Drosophila melanogaster: one gene and its partners. Changing the gene in region 2 together with the main gene of any one other region gives a genetic interaction. Each region holds a gene or a part of one and is shown on either strand. Other genes may lie near its edges.

Evidence for each region.
Region 1: of shtd (region 2) and rod, changing one suppresses a phenotype caused by changing the other (phenotypic suppression), as found in Drosophila melanogaster (one study listed by BioGRID).
Region 3: of shtd (region 2) and stg, changing one suppresses a phenotype caused by changing the other (phenotypic suppression), as found in Drosophila melanogaster (one study listed by BioGRID).
Region 4: of shtd (region 2) and mr, changing one suppresses a phenotype caused by changing the other (phenotypic suppression), as found in Drosophila melanogaster (one study listed by BioGRID).

The regions. Positions count from the first base shown.
Region 1 is NT_033777.3:31,579,330-31,586,955, reverse strand, and holds the start of rod (rough deal), read right to left. Parts: upstream 6,006-7,626; 5' UTR 5,934-6,005; coding exon 5,838-5,933; intron 5,776-5,837; coding exon 5,438-5,775; intron 5,349-5,437; coding exon 5,001-5,348; intron 4,941-5,000; coding exon 4,741-4,940; intron 4,677-4,740; coding exon 4,468-4,676; intron 4,413-4,467; coding exon 3,712-4,412; intron 3,652-3,711; coding exon 2,384-3,651; intron 2,323-2,383; coding exon 1,928-2,322; intron 1,868-1,927; coding exon 1,359-1,867; intron 1,301-1,358; coding exon 931-1,300; intron 874-930; coding exon 609-873; intron 539-608; coding exon 1-538. Other genes in the region: pygo (pygopus), read left to right, coding at 7,326-7,626.
Region 2 is NC_004354.4:15,456,438-15,464,306, reverse strand, and holds the start of shtd (shattered), read left to right. Parts: upstream 1-1,865; 5' UTR 1,866-1,971; coding exon 1,972-3,019; intron 3,020-3,079; coding exon 3,080-3,203; intron 3,204-3,261; coding exon 3,262-3,423; intron 3,424-3,481; coding exon 3,482-4,700; intron 4,701-4,759; coding exon 4,760-6,804; intron 6,805-6,863; coding exon 6,864-7,298; intron 7,299-7,362; coding exon 7,363-7,869. Other genes in the region: CG6294 (uncharacterized protein), read right to left, coding at 1-1,479.
Region 3 is NT_033777.3:29,251,643-29,257,754, forward strand, and holds stg (string), read right to left. Parts: upstream 4,159-6,112; 5' UTR 3,287-4,158; coding exon 3,231-3,286; intron 2,320-3,230; coding exon 936-2,319; 3' UTR 501-935; downstream 1-500. Other genes in the region: CG45544 (uncharacterized protein), read left to right, coding at 5,022-5,255. UniProt on the Drosophila melanogaster protein: This protein functions as a dosage-dependent inducer in mitotic control. It is a tyrosine protein phosphatase required for progression of the cell cycle. It may directly dephosphorylate Cdk1 and activate the Cdk1 activity.
Region 4 is NT_033778.4:23,970,803-23,975,936, forward strand, and holds mr (morula), read left to right. Parts: upstream 1-1,628; 5' UTR 1,629-1,706; coding exon 1,707-1,769; intron 1,770-1,830; coding exon 1,831-2,347; intron 2,348-2,403; coding exon 2,404-2,642; intron 2,643-2,717; coding exon 2,718-2,898; intron 2,899-2,957; coding exon 2,958-3,659; intron 3,660-3,710; coding exon 3,711-3,974; intron 3,975-4,039; coding exon 4,040-4,281; intron 4,282-4,337; coding exon 4,338-4,538; 3' UTR 4,539-4,606; downstream 4,607-5,134. Other genes in the region: CG3065 (uncharacterized protein), read left to right, coding at 1-1,095; PPP1R15 (protein phosphatase 1 regulatory subunit 15), read right to left, coding at 5,076-5,134.

The DNA of each region.
Region 1 (7,626 bases), on a different chromosome or scaffold from region 2:
ATATCCACTTTGCTGGACTTGAGGATCAGCTCATGGTGGTAGAGCGCCTGAATAAGCTCGGTGGGGTTCTCAACTTGGCGCAGTAGCTTCTCATCGGTCAGGCCATAGACATACAGCAGGTGCTGGGTCTTCTGAATAGGATACCGTCGCTTCACCTTGGCAACCTGCTCGCGACTCTTTGGATCTGTAATCAGGTGGCCCTTCTCCTTGACAAACTTCCAGCACTCGTAGGAGGCCTCCACCTGATCGGCTCCATCACGAGCATAGTTGGACACGAAGTACAGTATTAGAAATGCCTTGTTTGGGTTGTTCACCTTCTCGACCAGTCGTAGTATTGACTGCAGGAAGGCATTATTCGTGGGATGAAGACTCCATGATTCCGAATCATTTTTCGACTTGTACTCCGATATCGAATTCTTTACTGCTGACATGCAGAAGTAGTCACAGTTCTGGGAACTATCCTTGGATCCCTTCAAAGCCGTGTACATCTGAATCAGTGGAAACCAGCTTTGGCAGTTGTCCACGTTTAGTTCGCTGTCTGAATAGAAGAAGCGGAAACTATAATTAAACAGAAGCATTAAGCATTAAACTATTTCAGTTGAATATACCAAGAATATCCTTAAGAGGTTGCTCTACGATGGGCTTAAAAGGCAGACGATATCGAGATATCTTCGGCATAACGCCATTTTCCCTTTGTGATTTCAGCCACGTGTCGGTTTCCACCTGACCTGGCCGATTGCGTCTTCTGGTGATCATCTTGTGTCTCAGGAAGTGCAAAATGTTCATCCAGATTTCCATTTCCTTCGGAGCCGAATCGAAGTACATTAGGATGTTGATCACACACATGTACAACTCGTAGAAGTAAATGTTGATCTAAACGATTTGCAAAGATATTAAAAAAAAGATTATTTGTGGCATCAGTGAGCTTACGTCTTCAATAAAGTGTTTTAACTTGGAAGTAAAGAGCTCGACATTATTGATTTCATTAATGTACGGTTGGCACATATCGCGCATTTCCTGGGCGCTGCTTAGCATAACCAGTTCCTCGTCGCCGAAGGTATCCCTCTTCACCTCGAAGCGCAACTCCTGGGCGCTCAATATGCTTAGTATCTGGGTAATAAGAATCTTTTGGTAGTCGAACCCAAAGTCCTTGCTCATGCGTTCCAAAAGCTGAACGTCAAGTTGCTTATTGTGAAACTCCTTAAGCAGGTCCTCTATGTTGTCCATGTCGGCATTGAACTTGCCCTTTATTCTATGATCCTGTTGGCAAAACTCCAGGTAATAGAAGAGTTTCAATCTCCTGCAAACCAATAAAACGAAGTTTAACATCTAGACTTTTAATGTAATACTTCACTTACTTGGTGCGTATCATGTGCACACTGTCCAAGTCTTCGATATGCTCGTGGTACATGGCGGATAGTGTCAGGAAGTTGATTTTTTGCAGATCGGTCTTTACTTCAACGGAGAGCTTCTCCAGCAGCGCTAGTGCCTCGCTGTCCACCACCAACATGGTGAAAAGCTCTATGAAGTTCACATCTTTGCTCCCCATCGCATTTCGGAATATGCGGCGCAGCTGCAGCGTAATAAAGCCCTCGTTGATGATCCGCTTCGTGCGACAGTTTTGCTTCTGGAAATCCAGCAGATATTGCGACATAACGTACCAAGCGTCGTGCTCCTTCACCTTCGTCAAGTGCTCCAGTGACAGAAAGAAGTCAGCGCAAGCACTTTCGACATCCGCTTTTGTGTTCTCCGGCAGTTCATTGCGAACCTGCATCAGCAATGAGTTGTTTGGCTCCGTTTCGATTACCATAAGCAACAGAGTGCGAGCCAAGAACTTCACTATTGCCATGCGACCTCCGACGCTTTTCTTCGAAGACAACAGAAAGCATTATAACTATAGTCAATTATAGCTGTCTACGATCAATACCTTCTGAGGCTGCTGCTGGATAGGCTGCACTTCTACTTCATCAAACATGGACACCGAGTAGCGCTTCTTCGTAGTCGTTGGAACCGTCAGAGTCTTCACGTCAAAGGATCCGTTAAGAGCACAACTGAAGTTTATTGTGGTTTCGCCCAGGGCTACCGAAATCCCATCGAGGGCCCGGCAGATGTGCTCGTTGACGGCCTGCTCCTTGCCGTCGTAGTGACTCTTAATGGCGTCTAGCGGGTAGTGGATTACGGCCACGCGTATGTATTTGATGAGTTCAACTAGATCGTGACGACGGCTGCTCTCGTGGAGCAGGGCGGAGGTGAGCAACTCGTACGCTAAATAAAAGCTAAGCGGATCGTTTTCATTGATCAACTGCAGGGAGGAGGCCGTTTCTGCAAAACATAAATGGATTTTTCGTTCAATCCCATTGTTGCATAGCTGTATACGACTTACCCTGATTCTTTCCCTTGGCGCTTTCAATTTGCTGAACCAGCAGCTCAAGTGCAAGATTGACGAACTCGCCTGCATTGGCGGGCACACAGTCGACGAAGCTTACAACATGATAAGCGAGGGCGCAGCTGAGGGGCAGGCATCCAATGCGTTGGCAAATGCGGTGCAAACCAAATACTTTCGGAAGACCGAGAGCGGTACACAGTTCGCTTATTTCGCTGGCTATGAATGCGGACACATTCAGCGTGGCCTGGGCCCGCTCAATTATCCTTTCAATGGCCTCATCCAGAAGGCAATGACGTCTGTGCAGCGGTATCAGCTCGCTGCTGCAGCTCAAAAGGATGCCGAATTTCCTTAGGCGGAAACGATGCTTGATCACTAGGTAGCGGCGCTCATAAACGGACTCAACATGCGGCAAGAACAACTTAAAAAGCTCAAGGACGTTCAGGTGCTCCTGCACTTTAATATCACTTTCAAACGAAGCAGAGGAGCTGTTCTCCAAGATGTTAGCCATGATCTCCACCACTTCCTTCGCGCTCTTCGAATTTTTCTCACCATTCAGCTTTTTGAAGAATTCATAAGCCATCTCAACTTGTCCTCTCCGTGCCATTTGATAGCAGCAGTTAAAGTTGGCACTAGTTGATAACTCCGGCGCCGCCTTGGTGAGGGCGCTGATGTCGTCCAGCATGTCCGGAAGGTTCAACTTCACAATGCGCATCATGAAAAGCTCCAGGTTGATATCGGAGCTGTCGGCCGGCCAGCCGTACTTGACCTTCATGATCTTAATCACCTGAATCTCATACTCGGCATTGATCTTCACGGCCAATGGATGAGTGGAGGCACGCAGCCGGATTAGAGGAGCTAGTGTATCAGGCCAGGGCACAGGTGCGTTTTGCAGCACAGACAAGGCGCACTCCAAACGGCTGTCTTCGTTGTGAAGCAGCTCAATGCAAGCCATCGCCCGATCCAGCCATGAACTAGAAGATAGCCGACTGGCTACTAACTGTGATATGTACTGTTTAATCACGTCCAGTGGCTGCCGTCCCTTCTCCTGGAAGATCGGGTACATGAAGTTCTTCACCAGACGCTGAAGCTTATCTAGTTGAACGTGTTGCAAAATGCTCAACGCAGTGGCGTCGATGGAATCCTGCATGTAGTTGTCCAGTGTAAAGCCCATGTTATAGTTGGTCTTAAGCACAGAAAGATCCTGCAGTGCGTTGACAAGATCCCGCAGTTTTCCAACGTTGCGCTCTTGCTGACGCCGCACATCGCTGAAACGGATATACAAGTTAAATCTATCATATTTTAGGGCGAAAAAAGGATTTGCCTACGAGTAAGTAAACTGGATTTCCTCAAAAATGTCCAGTATCTTTGTGCAGAACTCCAGGCCGATATCCGGCCAATGCGGACTATACTGCAGATTCCGCGTCATCTCAATACTCCAGTCAGTGATAAAGGGCATTATGCTAGGATGGGTGTTGCTGACCATCGGAATGAACTGACGCAACCACTGGACAACGTTGAAGGGCTTGGTGTTGCTCGGAATGAACCCTAAAAGCGTGCGCAACTCATCTTCGTTTAGCAGCGGCAGAATGCTGCTCGAATGCCGCCGCCAAATGAGACAAGCCGTGGGCATATCTGTGTTGAATAGCGACTTGACCATCCTGACCAAGTTGTTATCGTAAATAAACTTCTGCCAATCCGTGTTGCATTCGTAGGGATCTATTATGGCCAGAGTTTTAAGTCGGTGCAGTTGCTCGTCGATTTCCAACATATCCTCCTCGTCGTCCTCAAAAGTCAACCGCTTCTTGACCTCGTGAAGATACCGCTCAAGGATGTGCCTCGAGTTCAAGTTGATCATGCGATGGCTCTTTATGAATGCCTTACTTTCCACCTGAGACAGCAGTTGCAGCAAGTCTTGGAATTTAGTGTCCACGTTTTGTGAATTCGAGTTGCAAAGCTCGACCAAAATGCGTTTCGCTTTGGCTTCATAGATGGGCTGGAGGCACAGCTCAAACTGCTTGCCAAATTCCTGTTGCAAATGTTAATGGATAATGAATGACTAAGAGATCAATTATACTCAATACCTCAGCCTCCTCCAGTCGCCCCTTGCAAATCAGCTTCTTAAAACGATCACTGGGGTCGGTCTCGGAAACGAGCATCATCTCCACCACGGAGGGTATGCTGCTCTGGTTGACTTCCTTGGCAGCCAGATAATACAGATTGACCGCACACTTAGGCTGACGCACAAGCCATGCGTGATCAGGAACTTCTACCTCGTTCTTCACATTGAGCGCTGCAATGACACAAGGTTTTTAGCCTTACTGTATGTTTATGTTTTATGTTTGCTGGACTCATACTTGGGTACTCCACTATCTTAATGAAGCGTCCCTCCGCCGTTGATTTCGTCAGCACCAGAAGCTCAATGTTATCTTCGCTGCACTCCATAACCAGCAGATCCTCGATGAGCAGATTTTTTTGTTGGGTAGTTTGACACATGTACACTGTGCGAGTGTATGGACAAATCTCCACCAAGTGGCCGGAATCGGTGAGTGCGATACTGCAAAACCCAGATACACGTTAGAGGGATTCTAGCACCACAATAAGCAAACCCACTCACATATAGTGTTCCAAGTTGAAGATCTGCTTTAGGCTGCCGTACTGAGCGGGCAAATTTATTCGTGTCACGTCATTGGCTGCATTCCTAAAGTTCATAGTGCTTTGATCTCCAGTGATAACTAGACCGGGTTGCGCCTCCAGATCATCCTGATTGTTCTCGGCACTGATGTTGCCGGTCAGCAGCCGCTTGAGCAGCACTGCACAGTCCACGCTGCACGAGGATCTGCCCTTGGAAAGACGTTGAATGGTGACGTCCTCGAGCAGGGCCTTTTCGCAAGCTATAGTTTCGTTTTCATTCAGGCTCATATTGCCTAACGTTTCCAAGCAGGTCTCATCAATGTCGCTTAAGCTACACAGCGTTTGAATCGTTTAATGAAATAATGTCAAGATCCAGTTTTATCACGCATATGCCAGAGCCCATCTCTGTGAATGGCTTACCTATAGATGCTTCCATTCTTACAGGTGAAGTAAAACCGCTGATCCAGTTGATGGATGCTCCGGAAGGTCCCGCCAGTTAGGCTCACGTCCTCCAGATTGACGGCCACGCTGAACAGGAGCAGGCCCTTGATGAACACTCCGTGAACTTCGCCATCGCTGAGGCCGCATACAATCAGGTTGCCGCTTGAAGAAATGGCAATGGCCTCAATGGCTGCCCCGAATGCCAGAAAGCTGCACTTGGCCACCAGTTCGTCCTCCAGGAGCAAAAGGCTCTTGTCGATGCCAATGACCATCTTGCCGCACTGCACGGAGGCCATGACATCTGGATATTTGTTTACCTGACAATGAAAGAAGGCGAGCGTAGAAACCCAACTGCAGATTCTGCACAATAAGGACTCACTTCCTCTTCACTGCTTATTTGGAAGATGCCTCGCGACGAAAATATGTTGGAGATGGTTTCGTCCTCCAGGGAGGACGCCTCGAAGTTGCTCCACATTGCTGTTCAATCCGCTCTAGCCTAATGTGCAAAACCTGCCAATTTTAAACTCTTTATTTAAACACCGCCAATAAACAAGCGTCGCCTGAGAGTTTGCCGATAACATTACCCGCATATCGATAGACGATTGGCGGCATGAAGACACACTACGTATTGACCTTGGGGCTAATACGTTTACGCAATTTATATTTATTACTTAAATGACGTATGTCCAAATCGTAATTTCTCCTTTAAACCTATTACTTTTTAAATGTTAACGTAGTTGCAAACTACTTCGTGCTGGCTTGCTTTGGCCACACTGAGCCGCCGACGGAATTCCGGCATTTCTCTTGACGTGCGCAAACGGTCACACTGGCGGACTTGCAATGAAAATTATTTATATTTCGCTTCTTCGCACGCAAAAATTGGTCAAAATAAACAAAGGTTAATGTGCTGCTGCTATATAACGGTTCAGTGGTCAGTCCGCCGGACCGCCGAATCCGCGTAACGGTAATCCGTGCGTGTGCCGCTCCTATAAACGGCGCTAATTAAAAGTGGATGCTGCAGTGGCCATCAAATCAACAAAAAGCCAACCGAAAACGCAGGCTTCACAAATCGCGTAAACCCTAACACAATTTCCTTGGGAAATAACCGCCGGTTGTTTTGTTTTCCGATTAAAGACAAACGCAAAAAGAACCCGTAAATAAACAACAGTTAAGCGCTGCACTGCAATTAAAACGGAACGGGAAGCGCAGCGGAGGACATAAAATCGCTGGCAAGAAGAAGAGCGCTGCCAGAAAGCGCCCTTTGAAGGGTTTATGAAGGGGAATTAGTGGCAAACCGCAGTGCAGAGTGCTAAAAAAACGAACTCCTGACCTGAAGTGATCAAGGATCAGTAAGAAACTGAGAAGCGGCAGGTGCTTGGCGCTTTGAAACGAGACAACACGACGCTGGGTTTCCAGGGTAGAGTTGCCAACCCGAAAAATAAGCGGGGTTGCCGTTCGTTGCGCCGAAAGTGTTTACCTGCGTTTTGGGAGTCAGTTGCTTTAAAAACGCGATTTTCATAAGGGTCCTGGCCAGGAGATGTCTTGGTGAGTAGTTGAGGAGGACTGACCCACAGGATGCCAGATACTCATTTGGCACCCTTCACACTCCCAGGAACTCAAACTCCAGGCGGTCGCAGGCCGGATAACCGGCAGAAAGCCCAAGCCCACCAAGCATAACCCATTGTAGTTGGTCACCGAAGGATCCAGTGGATTTGTGCCCACCTCCCTAGGGACATCAGAACCAAACCCACTCCTTTACCAGCGTCGAGATCTCCTGCGCGGGATTGGCGACGCCGCTACAACCGAATTTCTTGCCCCACGCCGTTGAAGAAAAGCTGCCACCATTCGGAAGAAGAACACCTCGAATATGACCCACAATCTTGGTATGGCGCCATATCGATTGCCGGGTCCAGCGGGCGGACTCTGTCCGCCCGATTTTAAGCCGCCGCCTCCCACGGACATCATCTCGGCGCCGAGCAATCCGAAGAAGCGGCGAAAAACCTCAAGTGCCGCCAACTCCGCTGCAGCGGTGGCTGCGGCGGCGGCTGCAGCAGCTGCTGCGAATTCCATGCAGCAGCAGCAGGCGCCACCCACACCGCAGGATTTGCTGCCCCCTCCGCCAATGGGAGGCTTCGGAGACACCATTATTGCCTCGAATCCATTCGACG
Region 2 (7,869 bases):
CAGCTGGAAGCGGTGCACATACGGCTCCTCGAACTCCTCGTAGTGGGCCACCAGGCTGTTCTGGTTGCAGCGCAGCTCGATCAGTCGGATGGGCCTGCTGGAGCGAATCTCACGCGTGTCGCGGTTCAATTGTATGCTGGCCGCCTCAAAGTCGACGGCAGCCGTCTGCTCCAGCTCCAAATTCAGCCAGCGATGATGGGCCAGGATTACGGCACAGTTGCGTGCAAAATAGAAGCTATCGTGGCGTCGCTGGTTGTGGTAGTTGTCCAGCAGTTGGCTGCTTGGCTGCAATTTCAGTTTGGTGAGGCGGGCGCGGTTGCCCGTTGCGGCGCCACTGCCGGCGGACGAGGAGGAGGAGGAGGTGGAGCTGGATGAGGATGATCCGCCCTCGGATGAATTAGTATTGGCAAGTGAGCCCCTGCGGGCGTCCACAATTCGCTGCGGCAAATGCTCCGTGGGCTGGTCCACGGTCAACACGCGATTCAAGTAGTCGAAGCCCTGGCCCATCACACCCTCGCTGGTGTGGCCCAGATCGAAGCAGTGGCCCAGTTCGTGGCACACGGCGCCCAAGGTGCTGGCATAGACGCCGCCGTACGTCCGCCGATAGTTGCTCTCGTCCGGCAGGCGGGCGATGTCCACCCGCTGGGCGCTGCGCACACAGTCGCCGATCTCCGCGAAGCTCGTGGGCCACGCGTAGAAGTGGGCACTACCAAAGAGCGCCAAGCCGCCGCCACCGAGTGCTGCGTGTCCCTTGAGATGCCGCCGGATGTTGGCGTACGAGGAGTCACCGCTGGCCACCACTGCGTCGCCGTCGTAGCGCGTGCAGCCCACAAAGGCGACGAACTTGAGGAGCAACTGGTGGCCCCACTGCGGACAGGCGATAATCTCGCCGGCGAAATGCTGCCACAGCTCGTCCTCGCTCTTCGCCAGCGCCTGTTTCCGGGTCAACTGGCTGCGGAAGGCGCAGCACTTGCCGTTGAGCGTGAAGGTGCGGTTGGGAAAGCCCGCCGCGTGCAGTTTGTGCGCGTAGATGGACTGCACCAGCCGCAAATTAAGATCGATGAGGGAGTGCACCTCGTGCTGCTGCGCCAGCGTCTTCTCCTCGTCCTGACAGAGCAGGTAGAGCGGCTGCACCCGGTAGGAGCTGCGGCGGGGCCGGTAACTGAAGCTAATCGTTCGGGTGGCCGTGCAGGATCGCAACTCCAGGAGGCAGGCGCTCTCCTCCTCCTCCTCCTCGCGATTCGCTTGTTCCAAGTCGAATAGGAGCTTAAACTCGCCGCCGGCCGACAGCTGGGTGAGCTGCTCCTGGGACAGGTGCTCGGGCAGATCGAGGATCGCCTTCAGTTGACGCGCCGTGGAACACTTGGGCACCAGGCGTCCCTTGACCAACAGCAGGCTGTGCTCCAGGCGCTCCGACGTCAGCGGCTGCTCAACCTCGATGCTGTGCGCGCGCTTGCAGCCGGCGGTGCCGCTGCTCATTGCCAAATTCTGGCCAGGATTTCCGGTTCCGTTTGTCTGCTCAAATCAAAATCCAGACTCCGAAATCCAATTGGAAAAGCCGAACAAACGCACTGTGCTGCCAGACCGGGAAAATAACCGGTACGCCAGCGGACCAAAGCTGGTTGCTACAAGTGACCAACCGGCATTGTAATCGATAGTAAAAGCAATCGAACTGTTATATTTTATATTTTTAAAAATAGGCAAAGCCATTTCTCTAGCATTTCTTTCGGTATGACTTTATGGCATATACTGGTAATTGTTTTGTTTGTCGCGATTCTGGTCTTCCTATCGTTATCGGCCTTTTGATAGCTCTCCTCATATCGAAGTACTGCAGGCCCGATAGAATCAGGCACTTATCGCCACCCGATTTCGATGACAGTTTTTAAATAATTGTGCAAATTCCTTGCTAATAATAAATTGTAATCAATTAACTTGTCAATCGCAATTCTGGATGCACCTGGCGACGCGGACATGATCGCCGTCGCAGAACCGCCGCTGGAGTTTGTGCCGCGCGGCCGTCAGACGTCCGCGGAGCATCCGGGCCCACATGACCAGCCAATGGCGCGCCACCAACTGCCCACCACGGAGCATCTGCTGCTGCAGCGCCTCCAGAATGTGAACATCTCGTCGGCCGGTGAGGACTGCCCTTCGGGCGGACAGGAGTCGTGGACAGTCCGAGAGCTGTACGATGACTACGAGGCATCCGAGGAGCGCGCCGCCCTGCGACGCAAGTTGACCGAGCGGACAAAGCGATGTGGTCTCCAGGCCACCTCGCTGCCGAACAGACTGCTCAATCCACCGCTGGTGCGGCGCGTGGAGCCAATGTGCGACTATATGGTTAACAACGAGGAGGAGCTCTATGTGAACCGGAACACGGTGGTGTGGACACAAGGCGTCAACGATGACGACGATACCGACAATGGGGTGTACCGGCGCATGTGTTTCACCACCGATACGCCGGTGCGCTTCGCCTGCTTCCTGAATCGCAGTTTTGTGCGCGGGCGACTGGCGCAGCTGAAGGCGGCTGTCCACCCGGATGACGACCATTTGACCGCCATCTGTGTGATGGATCAGGACGCCCTGCGGGTGTACTGCAGCAACGGCGAGGACTTTCTAGCCAATCTGGACTTTCCCGTGTCACAGCTGTGGCAAACCAAGTATGGCCTGCTGCTGGAAAAGGACTCCAGCAATGCCTTGATATCGCACATGTCCATTCCGATGCCGCGTCTCTTCTCTATGTCGCATCCGCTGCACGAGGCCTGTCCCGTCGTCCTGAAGACGGCCACCGGCTCCACCGGCTACATGACCGAACCGGAATACACTGTGGTCTTCACCACCGAGGAATCGGATTTGGTGATGCTGTACGATGCCAAGTTCTTTAAGCATTTCGTTGCACGCCTGCGTAAGGTAACGCCCGAAGAGATCAACTATGTGAGTCAGCAGATGGAGCTGGGACAGACGCTAATGGGACCCAGGTCGATGGCAGGCAATAGTTTCAGTTCCACCAAGCAAACTGGAGGTGAGTTGATAGCAATGCCAGCAAGGGCATACGATTTATTCACTGTCTATCCATTGCTAGCCACGCCAAAAGCAACGAACTTATCGTTTGCGGCCAGGAATATCAACACCACCACCACCGGCATGGGCAACCAGTTCGGACTCAGCCAGTCGCAGTCGTTCAGCGGAGTTCTTGGACAGTCGAAGTACGTTTAAGTCGCTGTCATCCATCACTTACTTATTATTGCCTCTTCTTCCGTTTAGTCGCGCCTCCCTAGGCACTCCATTGAGCCAACTGCAGAGCAGTATTAGCCAGCAGTCCATGTCCGTGAAGGATATGCGCAAGTTAACGCACGTGAAGCCGGCAAAACCCATTGAGCCGGAATTGTGTATGGAGCACATCTGGACGGAGAACATCTACGGAACGTCAGTAAATGCCACCAAAGATGCCACTTTCAGTACTAAAATTGTCTGTCTTCCTTAGTCAACGAGAGTTCTGCGAGATGGCCACCCGAGCATTTATCCACACGGATTTAGTGGGTCAGACCTTTTTGTGCTACCTGCTGGCCCGCTCGTGCCGCCTTCAGTTGGTCCGCCTCACTGGCTATGGAAGGGGCGAGGTGCAGCTCTCCACGCACGCCTCCACGCTGGCCGCGAAAGATGCAGTGGGTCTGAAGAGAATGCACATGATTGCCGTTCTCGATCCGAGTGGCAGCTTACTTCTATACACAGGCACCGTGCTCATATCCAAGGTGCACATTACGCCGTTTTTGGCGCCTACCTCCATTCCCACACCGCTGGTAACGCCCATGACTGCTGCCCCATCTCCGTCGGCTTCGCCCGCTCCGTCTCACGTTAAAACACCAATGGCAGCTGCTGGACCAGCAAGCGGCATTCCGTCCGGCAGCAGTTCTTTCGTGGAGGTGCGAAGGAGCAGCCTACTGCCCACAAAAGCGCCGGGGGATGTGGCTGCCTTCGAAGAGGAGCTGCACATGCTGTCGCCCATCCAACCGCAGCCGGTGTCCTACACACAGCGGCAGGCGCACAATGTCTGCAAATCCCTGAGAGATCCGGCGGGAAATCGATTGACTTTGGTTTATGCCACGGGCAGAATGCTCAGAATAGCGCTGCCATTTCTAAATGATACACGATTGCTCACCAGATGTGTGGCTACGCTACGGCAGGTTCTAAGTCCGACCCAGTTCCTGGACTTTGTTATCCGTTGGTATAGCGACAGGAATCCGCCGGGATCGAGGAATTACTCCATAGAGCAGGAATGGCTGCTATTCCGCTCCACACTGCTCGCCCTAATGGGTCTGACTGCTGCACCGGATGTGGATGCGGGCGAGAACTACGCTAGATGTGCCACGCCACCGCTGCACACTCAATTTGGAGGCGGCGCTACTGCGACGGAATCGAGTGACGGTTCTAGTTGCAGTTCCAATTCTACACTGGGTGGCCAGGATGAGCCGAAGAAACGGCGAATATACAATGATTGCGATGATTTCACGGACGACGACTGGGAGTTCCTGCTGCTCCAGACGACACTGGCTCCCTGCGGAGCCGATGGCCACAGCTACAGCGTGAACATCGGTGCGCTGCTCTTCCGAATGATTCCCGCCATCTTCTTCAGCCTGCATTTACTGTACGAGGATCTCAAACTGGACGCTGACTTTTATGGAGCGCTTCCATATCTGGCAACGGTAGGTGAATCATTTAATAGATCCATTAGTGGTTTTCTAACACCATCTCCTCGTTCCAGTTCCTACACCAGCTGGCCATCGATATGCAGCTGGAAAGTTATGTGCTGCACTACATACTAGACTTTCCGGAACTCTCGAATCGTACGGGCAAGCTCTCGTTGCTGGGAGCTGAGCACGGAGCTATGATGCTGCACCAGGAGCTTCTGAGGGTTCCGGCACCCAGTGTGTTTGCCCAACTCGAGCACATTATTGTCGGCGAGGAGGAGGTGATGCCTTACACCTTCTTGGAGTGCGTTAACGAGAGAAGTCGCATTTTACTGCAGCTCGTATCGCTGGTGACTCATGGGCATGAGCGTCTGAATTACTGGTGGCAGCTGCTTGAGATCCCCGGCGCCGTTCAGGCCAACTTTACGCGGCGCTCTAAGCGTAATATCACGGCGGATGCTCCGCGTAGCCATCAGATGTTACAGCTACTTCTGGCCATGCGCTTGACACGGCGAGACATTGAAAGATTCCCGGCGGCAGTGCATCTGATTGTAGCGGAGGCACTGGAGGAGGCTCGCCTCTCGCCGCCCATGGGCTGCAGCATGGCCACCTATGAACTTATCCTGCGTCCAGAATTGGCGGCCCACGCTCAACTGCCGTTCCTCGAAACGAGCACTGGGCAACCGCATTGTGGCCGGGTCTACAAGGAAGATTCACTGTCAGCGAGGTGTCCGCCGACCGGGGGATCAGAAACTGATTCACCGGCCCAATTGCGCCGCGACGACATGGACAACATGGACACAAAACTACTGCGTCTGCGTTTTCCCGATGACATGCGGGTGGATGAAGTGCGCCGTCTGCTTAACAGCTCGGAACCGGTGGTCATTGAAGTGCAACAGGCACCGGGAACCAGCGATCACGAATTCATTGAGGAGCAGGAGAAGCAACTGTTTGCACTATGTTCGCGCACAATGACACTGCCCGTGGGCAGAGGTATGTTCACCCTGAGAACGATGTTGCCGCGGCCCAGCGAAAGCTTGACCATGCCCAAATTGTGCCTGTTGGGCAAGGAGCCGCTGAAGGGCACCACCATCGAAATGCAGCAGATCGAATTCCCAGCGAATATGCAAATGTGGCCATCGTTTCACAATGGCGTGGCCACTGGCCTGAAGATCTCACCCCAGGCTCAGGACATAGACTCCAATTGGATTGTCTACAACAAGCCCAAAACGCATTCGCATAATGCCCTGGAGCACGCTGGTTTCCTCATGGCCCTGGGCTTGAATGGTCACCTAAAGACGCTGTCCTTCATGAGTGTCTATAAGTATTTGGTTAAATGCGATGAGATGACCAACGTTGGTCTGCTGCTGGGCATTTCCGCTGCCCATCGCGGCACCATGGATACGAAAACCACAAAGTTGTTGAGCGTTCACTTGGAGGCACTGCTGCCAGCCACCGCCATGGAGTTGGATATACCGCAAAGCACACAGGTGGCTGCTATAATGGGCGTCGGTTTGCTCTATCAAGGATCAGCTAAGCGCCACATAGCCGAGGTGCTGCTCCAGGAGATTGGCCGTCCTCCAGGCCCTGAGATGGAGAACAGCATTGAGCGCGAATCGTATGCCATGACAGCAGGTCTATCCCTCGGATTGGTTACCCTCGGTCAGGGTGAATCGCCGGCGGGCCTAAGGGACCTCCAACTGCCGGATACCCTGCACTACTACATGGTCGGTGGAGTGAAGAGACCCATCGGCGGTTCCCAGAAGGAGAAATACCGACTAGCCTCGTTCCAAGTTCGTGAAGGCGATACCGTCAACATAGATGTCACTGCTCCGGGTGCAACGCTCGCATTGGGACTTATGTTCTTCAACTCGGGGAACGCAGCTATTGCCGAATGGATGCAGCCGCCGGATTCGCGGTATCTACTGGACATGGTGCGGCCTGACTTCCTTCTGCTGCGCACAATTTCCCGGGGCCTCATCCTATGGCAGGATGTCCGGCCGGACAACGCGTGGTTCCAGGCACAGTTTCCGCGAGCACTCCGAGCTCACCTAAAACTCCCGTTCTACGAAAATGAGTATGCACCCGAGGACTATGACGTGGACTACGAGGCCATCTCGTGAGTAACTGAAGTTGAATGTCAAAGTAATTAGATACGAATTATATACTCTTGTCCAGGCAAGCCTATTGCAATATCATGGCTGGAGCTGCCTTCTGCATTGGTCTCAAGTACGCCGGCACTGAGAATCTGGTGGCCTTTGCCACGCTGCGGTCGGTGATAAAGGATTTCCTTCGCTTCCCCAGCAGGCCGATGGGCGAATGTGCCGGTCGCACCACTGTGGAGAGCTGCCTGATGGTGCTGCTCATCTCGATCTCGTTGGTGTTCGCCGGCTCCGGCAACTGCGAAATTCTTCGCATAATTCGGTTTCTCAGGTCGCGAGTGGGACCACAATATCCGCACATAACCTACGGCTCTCACATGGCCATACACATGTCGCTTGGCCTGCTATTCCTCGGCGCGGGTCGCTTCACCATTTCCCAGACACCGGAGTCGATTGCTGCACTGGTCTGCGCCTTCTTCCCCAAGTTTCCCATACACAGCAACGACAATCGGTAAGGATTAATATATTTGCAGCAATGTGTTAGCACACTTCACCGCATGGATTTACATTTTAAGATACCATCTGCAAGCGCTGAGACATCTCTATGTACTGGCTGTGGAACCGCGCCTGTTCCTTCCCCGGGACATTGACACCAATAAGCTGTGCCTGGCCAACATATCCGTGTTGGAGGTGGGTGCCACCGAGCTGCGCCGCCTGCCCATCGCTCCCTGCATCCTGCCAGTGCTGAGCACCCTGCAGCAGGTGGTGGTGGACGACGAGAACTATTGGCCAGTGTGCTTCGAGCGATCGCGCAACTGGGATCAGCTGGAAAAGGCGCTGGAGATGAGTGCACCGATTGATATTAAGAAGCGAACGGGCTGCCTTTCCCACTTGGAGGACCCGGACAGGCTGAAGAGCATGCTGGCCCAAACATTGACGATGGAACAGAGCATCTGTTGGCAGATCGATATGAACGACCTGCAGCAGTTTGCCAGCGAACGTATGGTGAAGCAGTTCCTCAGTCGCTGCCTGGACACCAAAGGCACGGATTTGAGTCCCCCGGAGCTGATGAAGCGGCACCA
Region 3 (6,112 bases), on a different chromosome or scaffold from region 2:
CTGTTATACTCAATTTTTTACGGACACAGCGCCCTCTGACATTTACAAAGTGCAACTACTCGCTTTGCGCGCCAATTTCAAGTTGTTAATTCTGTGAAAACCCATAGAGTACCGAAATCCCGCACATAATGCGCATTTGGCGCCATTTGAATGATAAAAATTCCAGGAATTTCAGTTCTTTTTCGTCGTGTATTAATGTATATTTAAAATTGATGGTCTTTGTTCAATAATATTGCCTTTTTTGATGCAAAAATAAGCTTTGCTTAAATAATAATCATTACATGGTAAAATATTTGTTTTCTTGTTTGCATTTGCGTTTCGGTGCCTTGTTGTTCGGTTACGGATTACATAAAAATAAACAAATAATAAGCGTAAATTGTACCTAGCAGAAGTTTACAACTTTCAACTCTTAAACGATAGATCTTATAAATAAAGTTTTATGGATGAAATTAATGAGCGTGTTTGTTTTTGTGTGATATTTGTTTTCTTTTTTTTTTTTTGTTTTTAGCCATTTTTTGTTCTGCTTATCATCTACAAATGATTAAGGGGTCTGATTTCGGGATCGGCCTCTTAAATTTAAATGACATGGTTCCTCACGTTTTTAGATTATAATGCACATTTTTCGTTTGCTTGTTCGTTGGTTATCTTTAAAATTTGAACTAGAGTGCTTAAATAATTGAACTAAAGCCGAAACCATAAAAACAATAATAACTAAACAAAAGCGTTAAATTCCAAATGAAATTGTCTGTTTTGCATGAATGCGAGTGTCGGGTGTGTGTCTGCGTCGTGTGCGAGAAACTTAGTCTACGGATTAACAAATGAAAATCAACAAAAATCAACTTAAAAGCAGCATGAAATAAATACCCCTATACGTCTATATATACAATACGATAACACCCAAACTTAGATAACGAACTGCACGATCATCCCACAACCTACAGCATCAGTCGCGAGCGCGACTTCTTTAGCCGCCCGGTGGCACCGCCCAGGCCATCGCCGTTCCAGGACTTGGACTTGGCGCGAAAGTGGCGATAGGCCTCGTTGTAGGCGGGATCCAGCATGGTGCGGTAGGCATGTGGTTCGCACAGCTCAACGTGCGACTCGAAGAACTCCTTGTAGCCGTTGTGCAGCAGATAGATCTCGGGATAGTGCAACGCCGGATAGGCGTTGGTATTCCTCTCGCGATCCAGATTACGCAGGAAGCGGGACATTTTCGGTCCACGCTCCGAGGAGAATTCGCAGTGGAAGATAATGATGTTGCGCTTGTGTCCCGATTCGGCGTTCTGCTGCTGCTGCAGCTCAGTCTGTTGGACGGTGAGGAACTCATCGAGGATCTGCTCGGTGGTGTACAGGTTCTTGGCTCCCTCGATGTGGCCGCCCTCGAATTCGTAGGGGTAGCGGCAGTCGATGATGCGGTAGCTGGCCACCTTATCGCTGAACTCGCCCTTAAGCAGGCGAGCCACTGTTTCGCTGGAGATGCTCTTCAGATCCCGATGACGACCCTCCATCAGGGGCAGGGCATAGGCTTTGCTGAAGTCGCCGATTAGCTCGGGCTCGTTGCGGTTCTCGGAGCGGGCCAGGGCGGACATGATCTCGGCGTCGTTCAGGGACATGCACTTCCTCAGTGGAGGGGGGTGGCTAATCGTGACCTGGCTGAGTGGGCTGGGTGCGGGGCAGTTCTCCTTCTCAACGGCGGCGCAGCGATGGCGTTTGCTCTGGATGGGCGAGCAGTTGGCCGATGCTGGCGGTTCCGGGCGCTTGAAGCAATCCCGGGCAGTCTCTGGGGTCTTTGGTGGTGGGGTGGTGGTGCTGTTGGTGTTGCTCTCCGTCATGCTGAGGCACCTTCTGACCGAAGGGCGGCGCATGGACAGACCCGCTGGCGATTTGGCAGCAGGCTGCTCCTTGATCTGGCCGCTGATCAGCGAGTTTAGGCCACTGGGGAAGCCCAGGGCGGTCTGTTGGCTCTGCGACTCCATCTCGAAGAGCTCCATGTACTCATCGTCCATGGAGGACTCCATGGAGCATGTGGAGGACAGGCTGTTGAAGATGCGGAAGCTGCGCGCCGGCGTGTGATCACTTGATACTCCCATAGCTGGCAGAATTTTCGGCTGGCGGACGATCTGGAAGCGCTGGGGCGAGCCCTCCGGCGAGAGCAGACCCATCAGCTCCGGACTGGCCGATCGCTGCTGATCCTGGGGCACAACGTCGTCGTCGTAGAACGACAGCTCCTCCTGGTCCATGCTCATCAGTTCCAGGGAACGGCGAGCACGACGAGATCCACTCATTTTGTTGATGCTACTCGAACTGCTGGTGTTATTACTGCAAGAGCAAACAAAGAGAGGGGGAGGATTAGTCAACTGTTCGGCATCGAGGAAGAGAGCTGCTTTTGCTTCCCTAAACTCTCGCAAGAGCGGGTCATTAAACCCAGCTAAAAATACTGACAAACTGGTGGTGGTGGTGGCGTTGGTGGTGTAAAAACAACAAAAATACCCGAGAAAATACAGAGAGGGGTTGTTGTAATTGGGTGAAGAGGGAGCTGAACTAGAAATTTACTTTAATGCAGCTTCGAAAACTGGAATTTTTGGGATTCGACTTGCGCACACGATATCATTGATACCATTTTTTTTTTTTTTGATAATTTTTACAATTCCCTAAAATTGCGAGGGAACCGTTGCGTACCGCCTTATCTTCTTCTTCTTGATTCTACTTAAGCATTAGCGGTTCTCCAAATGGAATTCCCTTTTGCTTTTCGCATGCATCTGCTTTTCAGCTTGACTTTTGCTTTTGGGTCACACGTCACGCAAGCGCAGCGATAATACAACAAAAACACGCCACAAAGAACCGCAAAGAACACGGAGGAAAAAAGGAACAAAAATCGAAAAAAAAAAAATGACTGACTGACGGACGACGGACAAAAAGCATTTTTTGCTGCTGCTTTTTTTTGGAGCCTCGCGGAAGCCGGTTTAATGAATGAAAAACGGCAAGCGAGCAACAAAACAACAGCTGAGCGCCAAAATAAAAATCGGGCAAAAAGCAAACGTGCCGAGCGTGATAAAAAGAACTCTTACTTTTGTTGGCCCCATCGTTTACATTTCTGTTTTTTGTATTTTTTTTTTGCTTTGCTGTTGTTGCTGTTGCTCTTGAACTTGCACTTTTTATCGCGTATTTTCAACTGGTATTCCTGGTGCAAAAGGGGTTTGCTGTTGCTAATCCTTGGGCGGCATAATTACCTGATATTGCAATCCATGCTGCAGTTGTTTTCCTCCACAATAGTTTCCCACAGCATTTTGTTGGTTTTGTTGTGTTATGTGTTGCGTTGGTTGCTTCGAAGAGCCGAAGATGTTTGATTTCGCTGGCGAGTCTGAAGCCGAAGAAATTGCTAAAACACAATTTGTTCTTGGTCACTCTGCACTCATTTACAGTTTGTTTTTAGAATTTGAGATGGTAGTCCTTGGTTTTTGGCTAGTATTGCATTTTAGTTAATTTAGGTTTTTTTGTTTTTTTTTTTTGTTAATGTGTCCGTTTGAGCATGATTTTTTGTTTTGTATTTCGGAGTGTGGTTGTGCGAGGTTTTTCTTTTTCTTCAATAATTTGAACCGCACAATCTCAATTCACCGAACGAGGAACCGAAAGGCTGAACAAGAAGAGCTGTTGACTCGACGACGAACTGAGAACGAATGTGCTGAATATGCCGAGCAGCTGGTTTTTATAACCGCACCCCGGCCGATCACGATCAGCTGATGAGCTAATGGGCGCGAGCGAGATGGCGCGCGTTTTTTGTTCTCTCTGCTTCGCTCTTTAGCTCTTAGTTCTCAGCTCCTTTCCTTTGCCTTCCCATCCTATCCTTTCCTTCCTATCCTTCCCAGAAGTGCCAATAGAAGAGGAAGGGAGACGGGCAACGAGCGACACCAACACACATAACGGGGACGGGGCCAGAGCCATGTGCGATGCGAAAAGGAAAACTGGGAAAATGGGAGAATCAGGATCATATGGACTCAGTTTTGGAAATCTCTGCTCATGTGGAGCACAAGAGTGCCGGCAACAGGTAGAATCCTTTCCCCTGCACTTCCCCTATCGCAAAATCCCGCACCGAATACCAATGTCCCGAGAAACGAGGAGAATCTGGCGCCTTGGTGGTCGCCAGCTCTATGGAGGCCACTGATTTTGGCGCGCGAGCTTTTATACCGCGACGCGTACCGCCGAAGGGGATCCGAAGTCGCCACAATTGGAGCCGAAGTGGAGCCGAGGAGGCTCCGAACCGAACACATGTGAAAATAGTGTGGAGCCCCAAGAAGCGAAGAGGAAACGCTGAAGAACTGCGCGAATCTTTAAGCAGAATTTCAAGGCGGCATCGATTGTGTCGTTTGCAGGTAATAATGTGAGATCCACGCATTCCTGCTGCCCCCTGTCCCCCCTTGTAACCCCTCCCTGAAAACTACATATCAGCAGGTAGTGGCCGCAGTCATATGATCGCCGCACCGGCGGGATGGGCGGTCGTGGAGGGGGCGTGGCTCCTTTGTGTTCTGCAGACGTAGACGCCAATGTCGTTAAATGAGCAAAGCTTCCAGCCACAGAGATCCATTCACAGGTAGCACTCTACACGATGGACCGTGTGTCTTTAATGAGAATCCGTACAAACACAGATCTTAAGCTAGATAAACTACTACTAACAGTAGCAAACACGTGGAAAATCATGATGTCAACCATGCGATATGACCAATAATCGATAATGTGAAGCTCAGACTAGTTGCCCACGCCGAAGCTCCACTGTAGCCCCTCGTTTGTGTGCAATCGCGGCAAAGTTAAAGCAAAAATCGAGTTACATATGCGCCGATGCCCTGCGGGAGTCATTCTGGAGGATCCGAGGGGTTCACTAAGGAGGGTTGGGGGTTTGCGAACACCCATGGGCTGTGCTGTGCAGTTCGAGTGTGTTTTTGTAAGGTTCGCGGCAAACAAATGAAGGACAGGCCAGTGCAACCAGGCCATATCATTCACACCGCTTGAAGAGCAGGCGAAAGTAAATGATTTCGGGACCAACCACAGCCGAAGCCACCAACCAAATGAGCTACGGTTTCATTCCGCTGAATTCCTTTGGCCAGCTTTTGTTGTTGCTGCAGGAAGAGCCGAGAGGATCATCTTTATGGAAAACAACCAGCACAAAACGACGAGAAGGACGCAGAAATCATAAAGTGGTTTTGAACAAGTTAAAAAAGCGCATAGGGAAGGAAAAAGCTCAGAACCAATCTCATTCATAGCGATCCGAGCGCACAGTGTGGCAAAATACATATACTAGAGGTAAATCTGTGAACTTACTACTACTATTTAAAAGTAGTTTCTAGCTCGAGTTGTTCTGCTATTTTCATTTTTACTTACCAAATTCTTATCCAGTTTTTATGCTTTTATTCATTCCAATTATAGCCTCGCAATTATGGATTTCAGATAATACCACCGTGATATCGCCGGGCTCCAGAAAAAGGGCAAAGCGGAGGAAGCGGAATCAAAAGCGTATGCAAAAGCACACTCACACACGTGTGTGTGCGTGTGTGAGTGGGTAAATTTGATAAAGAATGAGAATAGGCTGCGGAGAAAGAAATTGCAGCAACAATGTGAATGGAAATGGGAATGGGGCACAACAATAGCGGGGGACCTCAAAAACAGCATAACGAACAAAAAAAATCACAGGACCAGCAAAAAGTGAAGAGCTAAATTGTAAATCGAAATTCCAAGAAGTGAGCTTTGAGCATCGGCTCTTATTTTATTTTTTTCTCGGTCGTCTGTGCATTAAAATGCCTGCAAAGTGTGCGAAAAAAGCGTTTGAGATACTTTTGTGCGCGCGCGCTTTTCGCAAATCACTGCCAAAAGGGTTAAGGGTGGTGCGGTGGGCAGGCATGGGTTAAAGGCTGGGCGGTCCCAGTTTTCGCGCGCGTGTGTTTGTGTGTGGTAGACAATGCAATGCAATTAGAAGGAAGCGCAAAGAGGGGCCAGCGATCAGATGTCTAGGTGAGAGATACAAAAAGCGCAAATTTTCAACATCCCTCTAAAAGCTATTGAAATGCAATTTATTTATAATTTAATTATTAATTTATTTCAGATAAATCTGCATAGTACATAC
Region 4 (5,134 bases), on a different chromosome or scaffold from region 2:
ATACACGAGCAGGCGTCCGATATGATACTGCGGGCCTCGACGATTTTCGAGGACGTCAAGCACGACGAGGCGAATGTGGAGAATGTGCCCCATCACGGAGTTGAGACTGAGCCTGAGGACGACTCGCACTACGGCGGGAACGGCAACTCTAAGATCCGCATAATGCCCAGTGTGAAGCTAATGGCCACGACGCTCGCCTCCGATCCCAAGCGCAAGTTCGTCTGCCCGTATGACAACTGTACAAAGAGCTACGGCAAGAGCTCCCACCTGCGGTCCCACCTCACCTGGCACACGGGCATCAAGCCCTTCGTCTGCAGCGAGCCCAAGTGCGGCAAGGGATTCACGCGCTCCGATGAGCTCAACCGGCACCTCCGGACGCACACCGGCGAGAAGCCCTTCGAGTGCATCCAGTGCACCAAGAAGTTTTCCCGCAGCGACCACCTCACCAAGCACCTAGCTACCCACGACCGCCAGCTAAAGGGCAGCACCCCGAAGCGAACAGTACCGAGCAGCAGTGGTGGAGTCCGGCTCAAGCCCCCGAAGAAGCAGATTCATTCGGAGTCGGACTCGGGCTTCCACTTCATGGCCGCCATGGTTGGTTGCGGGGAGCCGAGCATGAAGCACCACCACCAGCAGCAGCAGCATAACCAGCACCAGCAGCCCGTGAGCATTATCGACATCCACCACAAGCCGATAAAGATTAAGCTGGAACGGCCGGAGCACAGCGACAAGTACCAGATCGTATCTCCTGAACACCAGATGGATAACCATGGCCACAACCAGAGCCAGTTGCCCGATTTCCTTAACCAGGCGAAGCCCGAGGTAAAATACGAACCGACCGAAGAAATTGTAAATACCCTCTCTCAGCTACCGCCGGCGGACGGACCCGGCACGTATGGGATGCCCCAGTTCGTTCAGGATCGGCCTTTCTACTGCCGGCAGTGTGAGAAGCGGTTCAAGCGGCAGGACGACCTCAACCGACACATACGAACGCACACCGGGGAGAAGCCCTACGCCTGTCAGCAGTGCTGTCGCCGGTTTGTGCGGAGCGACCACTTGAAAAAGCATCAGCAGACGCATTTGAAGATACGATAGTTTCATAGTTACTCCTTACTCCTTAAGTCGCTAGCCATTGGCATCCGCATCCAATCGATATTGGCTACCACACGGGCGTGTGTCGGGTGACGCACACAGTACAATAAAATTAAATAAATTCGCAATCTAACTATATTCCTATGCAAGATCAGCGCCGGCTCTCAAATCTCAATTTGTATGTATGTATGTAAATAAGTCGTATGCAATTTAATTTTAGCTCTAACTGTTTGTGTTTGCCGGAACGTGAAGACATACATCTGTATTTCTGAAACTCTTGCTGTTTCTTATTTTCTGGCTACTAAGCTCCCCGTATCTATTAATATAATTTATTTTAGTAAAACTGTTATTTATATTTATGGGCTAATTGATGGGGAACTGATAGTTCATCAGGATCAGGACTCGATCCAGTTTGAAATTTGGAATATGATTAATAATGGCCTATAAGAATGAATAATAGATATATGTATAATTTCTGATAAATCAAAGATTCATCGACTATCGGTTCGGTTGATAGAATCGACTTATCGATAACAGCATTATCATCACCATTGGCGTTTGATTCAGAGTTTCAAGCAATGTTTTGCACTGTTTAAAATAATTACACACAAGCGATGTGCGACTTTGACGCTTTGTGGGCGGATGTACTGAGAATCTTTCCGGTTTTGGGTGGAGCGGTAGGTTTATTCCTTCGGTTCAGTAATAGGGATTGGCGCTAGCACTCAGAAACTCTTACAGAACGCTGTATCCAATGATCCGGTTGAGGAGAATGTATTCCAAAATGTTCGCCAGCACCTGATGGTGTTGGGCAGCATAGACACCTTCGCGGCGGTTGTGGACCTGGAAATCCAGTCGACTATTCGGAATGTCCTGGTGCCCAAGTTCTGGAAGCACATCCACGACGGCTTGGTCTCGTCTAAATTGCAGGGCTGGATTAACGACCAAGCTCTGGCCATAGAAGCACTGCCCGATAAGAACGGACTGTTCACCCAGTTCATCGACGCCATCAATGAGCTGCATGACAGCTTTCAGAGCCTGATGCAGGTGAAGCCCAGGCTGATCCAGCTAGTTGGAGCTGAGACAAAGCCCACCGCAAAGACGGTGAAGCTCATGCAGGAGGAAGGCATTAAGAACTGCTTAAGGGACTGCTTGCTGGCTCAACTGCCACCCAATTTCAGTGTGGTCGTTGGGGCCTTCTACTGGGTGCACTTTAAGCTCTTCACCAAGGCCTCAAATCTCGCATTGACCACAGTTGGTATGTATCCGATACATACTCCTGTGGTTCCCATGCTCACTTGCTTTCCCCTTCAGACTCTGATGTTTTCGATGAGCTCCTCTGCGTTGGCTGCAACTTCGAAGCAGAGCAATGCTGCTGCCAAAGGCTGACGGATATGGTTAACAAGACAAACATGAAGCTCTTCGAGATGAACCTCATTGACCGTCTAACTGGGAGTGCTTTAACCGCTCTCATCAAGCTTAAAATCAAGGAGCACATCAGCGATACATGCATGGGAATCTTCGACAGAAGTCATCTTAAGCAACTGGAAACTGTAAGTTGAATGGGAATACCTTCTGTTGTCATAAATAAACTACTTAAGTAACTCATTTATTACCTACCTTTGCAGTGGCTATCGGATGTCATAATGTCCTGGCTCACAAACATATTCACGGAATGGAAGTCTAAGGATAGCATAAGCGATATCGAAGTTCCCGAGTCTGTAAAATCCTTCAAAGTCAAACTGACTTACTTTATGTACGAAACGTTTGCCCAAAGCGTTATTGGTCAGTTCTTCAGCATTATAATTGGTATGTGCCCGTAGATTCAGCCAAGAGTCCCCCAACTACATGTATTTATTTGTAAACAGACTATCCCGATTCCATTCCGGCTATAGATGACTTAAAGATTTGCATGGAGAAAATAGATATGCGAGTCTACCTCACTGAATCCCTTAGGAACTCGCTAGAGGCAAGGATTCTGCATCCTGGAGTCAACACCATGGACATATTAACGGGTTACGTGGCAGCCATCAAAGCTATTCGCCATCTGGATAGTACCGGAGTCATCTTAGAGATGGTAACTGCTCCAATCAAAGATTACCTGCGGAAACGAAACGACACAGTGCGACGCGTAGTCACTGGGTTGACTGAAGAGGGGCCCACGGACTTATCCGAGGAACTCGCCAAGGGAGAAACAATTAAGGAATGCAAGGACTCGGGTACCGATGAGTTCAGCAACTGGGAAAATTGGCAACCCGATCCGTTTGGTATAGATGCCAGCATTATGCAGTACAACAGCTCGCGGAAGATGAGATCGGCCGACATTATATCGATGGTTGTAGACATATACGGCAGTAAGGAGTTGTTTATGACAGAGTATCGCAATCTAATGGCGGACAGACTGCTGGCCCAGTTAGATTTTAATTCCGAAAAAGAAATTCGAAATCTGGAACTGCTGAAAATCCGCTTTGGCGAATCGCTGCTGCACAGCTGCGAGGTGATGTTGAAAGACGTAACCGACTCCAAGCGAATTAACGCGCACATCCACAGCGATGGCGACCGAACTGAAAGTGAGTTACTTTTAATTTTCAAAATGCTTTAACGAAACCATCTCATTTTAGATCAGTTGTTCGACATCTCCTCGCTGATTGTTTCTGCTCAGTTTTGGCCGTCCTTCAATAAAGAAAGCCTCCAACTTCCTGAGGAGATTGAGAATGAGTTCAAGAAGTACACCAAGGCCTACGAGGCATACAAGGGCAACCGTACGCTCAACTGGCGTACAGTGACTGGCCGTGTAAATATTGAAATCGAGATCGGTGACCGGACCATGGAAATGGTTGTGAGCCCCATTTTGGCGGTTATTATATACCACTTTCAAACTAAGAGTACGTGTTTACAGGGCAGTCAAGTTTTACAGTTTTACAACCGCATGGTCATATTTTTTTTTCAGATGAATGGACTATCGAGGATCTTAGTTCCATTACGAAAGTTCCAGCGTCTGCACTGCGGCGTCGTCTGAGTTTTTGGCAAAACCACGGATTGATCTCGGAAACGACACCCGGAATATTCACGCTGCTGGAAAAGGAATCGGAGAAGTCTCAGTACGAGGACATGAGTCTGGCAGAAGCTGACGAAGAGGATTTGGAATCCGCAATGGCTTCTGCCAGCGATCAAAGGGAAGAAGAACTCCAAGTAAGTGCCTTCAACTGTTCCTAATTCCGGCTTTTTCTTATACAATTATGCCGCAGGTTTTTTGGTCCTATATTGTTGGAATGCTCACGAATCTTGACTCCATGCCAATTGACCGAATCCACCAGATGCTGAAGCTGTTCGCCTCCCACAGCGGCGGAGTGGAGTTTACTCAGGATGAGCTGAAACACTTTCTCCAGCGAAAAGTCAGGGAGCACAAGCTAATATTCTCGGGTGGAGTTTACCAATTGGCCAAATAAGTTTCGGAGATCCAAAACCAAGTTGCAAACGACTGAAGGAATCATGAAATAAATAATGAATTAACGCGATAACATTTATGAAATTTACTGCTCCATGTTAAACGTACCTATTTTTTCAAACTGCCGTCTTATCTGTTTCTATTCAGAGCTTATCTCTCACCCACGTACACACAAAGTCTTTACCCAAACTTGTTTGGCTTGGGAATTTGGAACACAATGCAAGCAATCTTATGTGAAAAGAAGAACACACAGTAAAATACGTCTATTGCTTAATTTATTTCAAGTTATATTAAGGTATATGCTAATCCCGTTATCAACAAATTCAAACTTCTTAGGGCTCTAAAACTAAAGGCGAAGAAAAGTGTACGTGGTTTTGATATACTTTACAGGTTAAACAGTTTTTGGCTTCATAAAATCAATCACGAACGCAGTGGCTAAATCGATCACTTTATACACGCAAACAACTTGGAATTTAATGCTGTAATCGTTCTAAACTGTAATCTGTACATCAAAAGTTACTTCAGGTATGCGGACCAGCTAGTCCTCGTGCAAGAATCGAGCTTGGTAGACACGATCTCGGTGAACTGGAGTCAGGA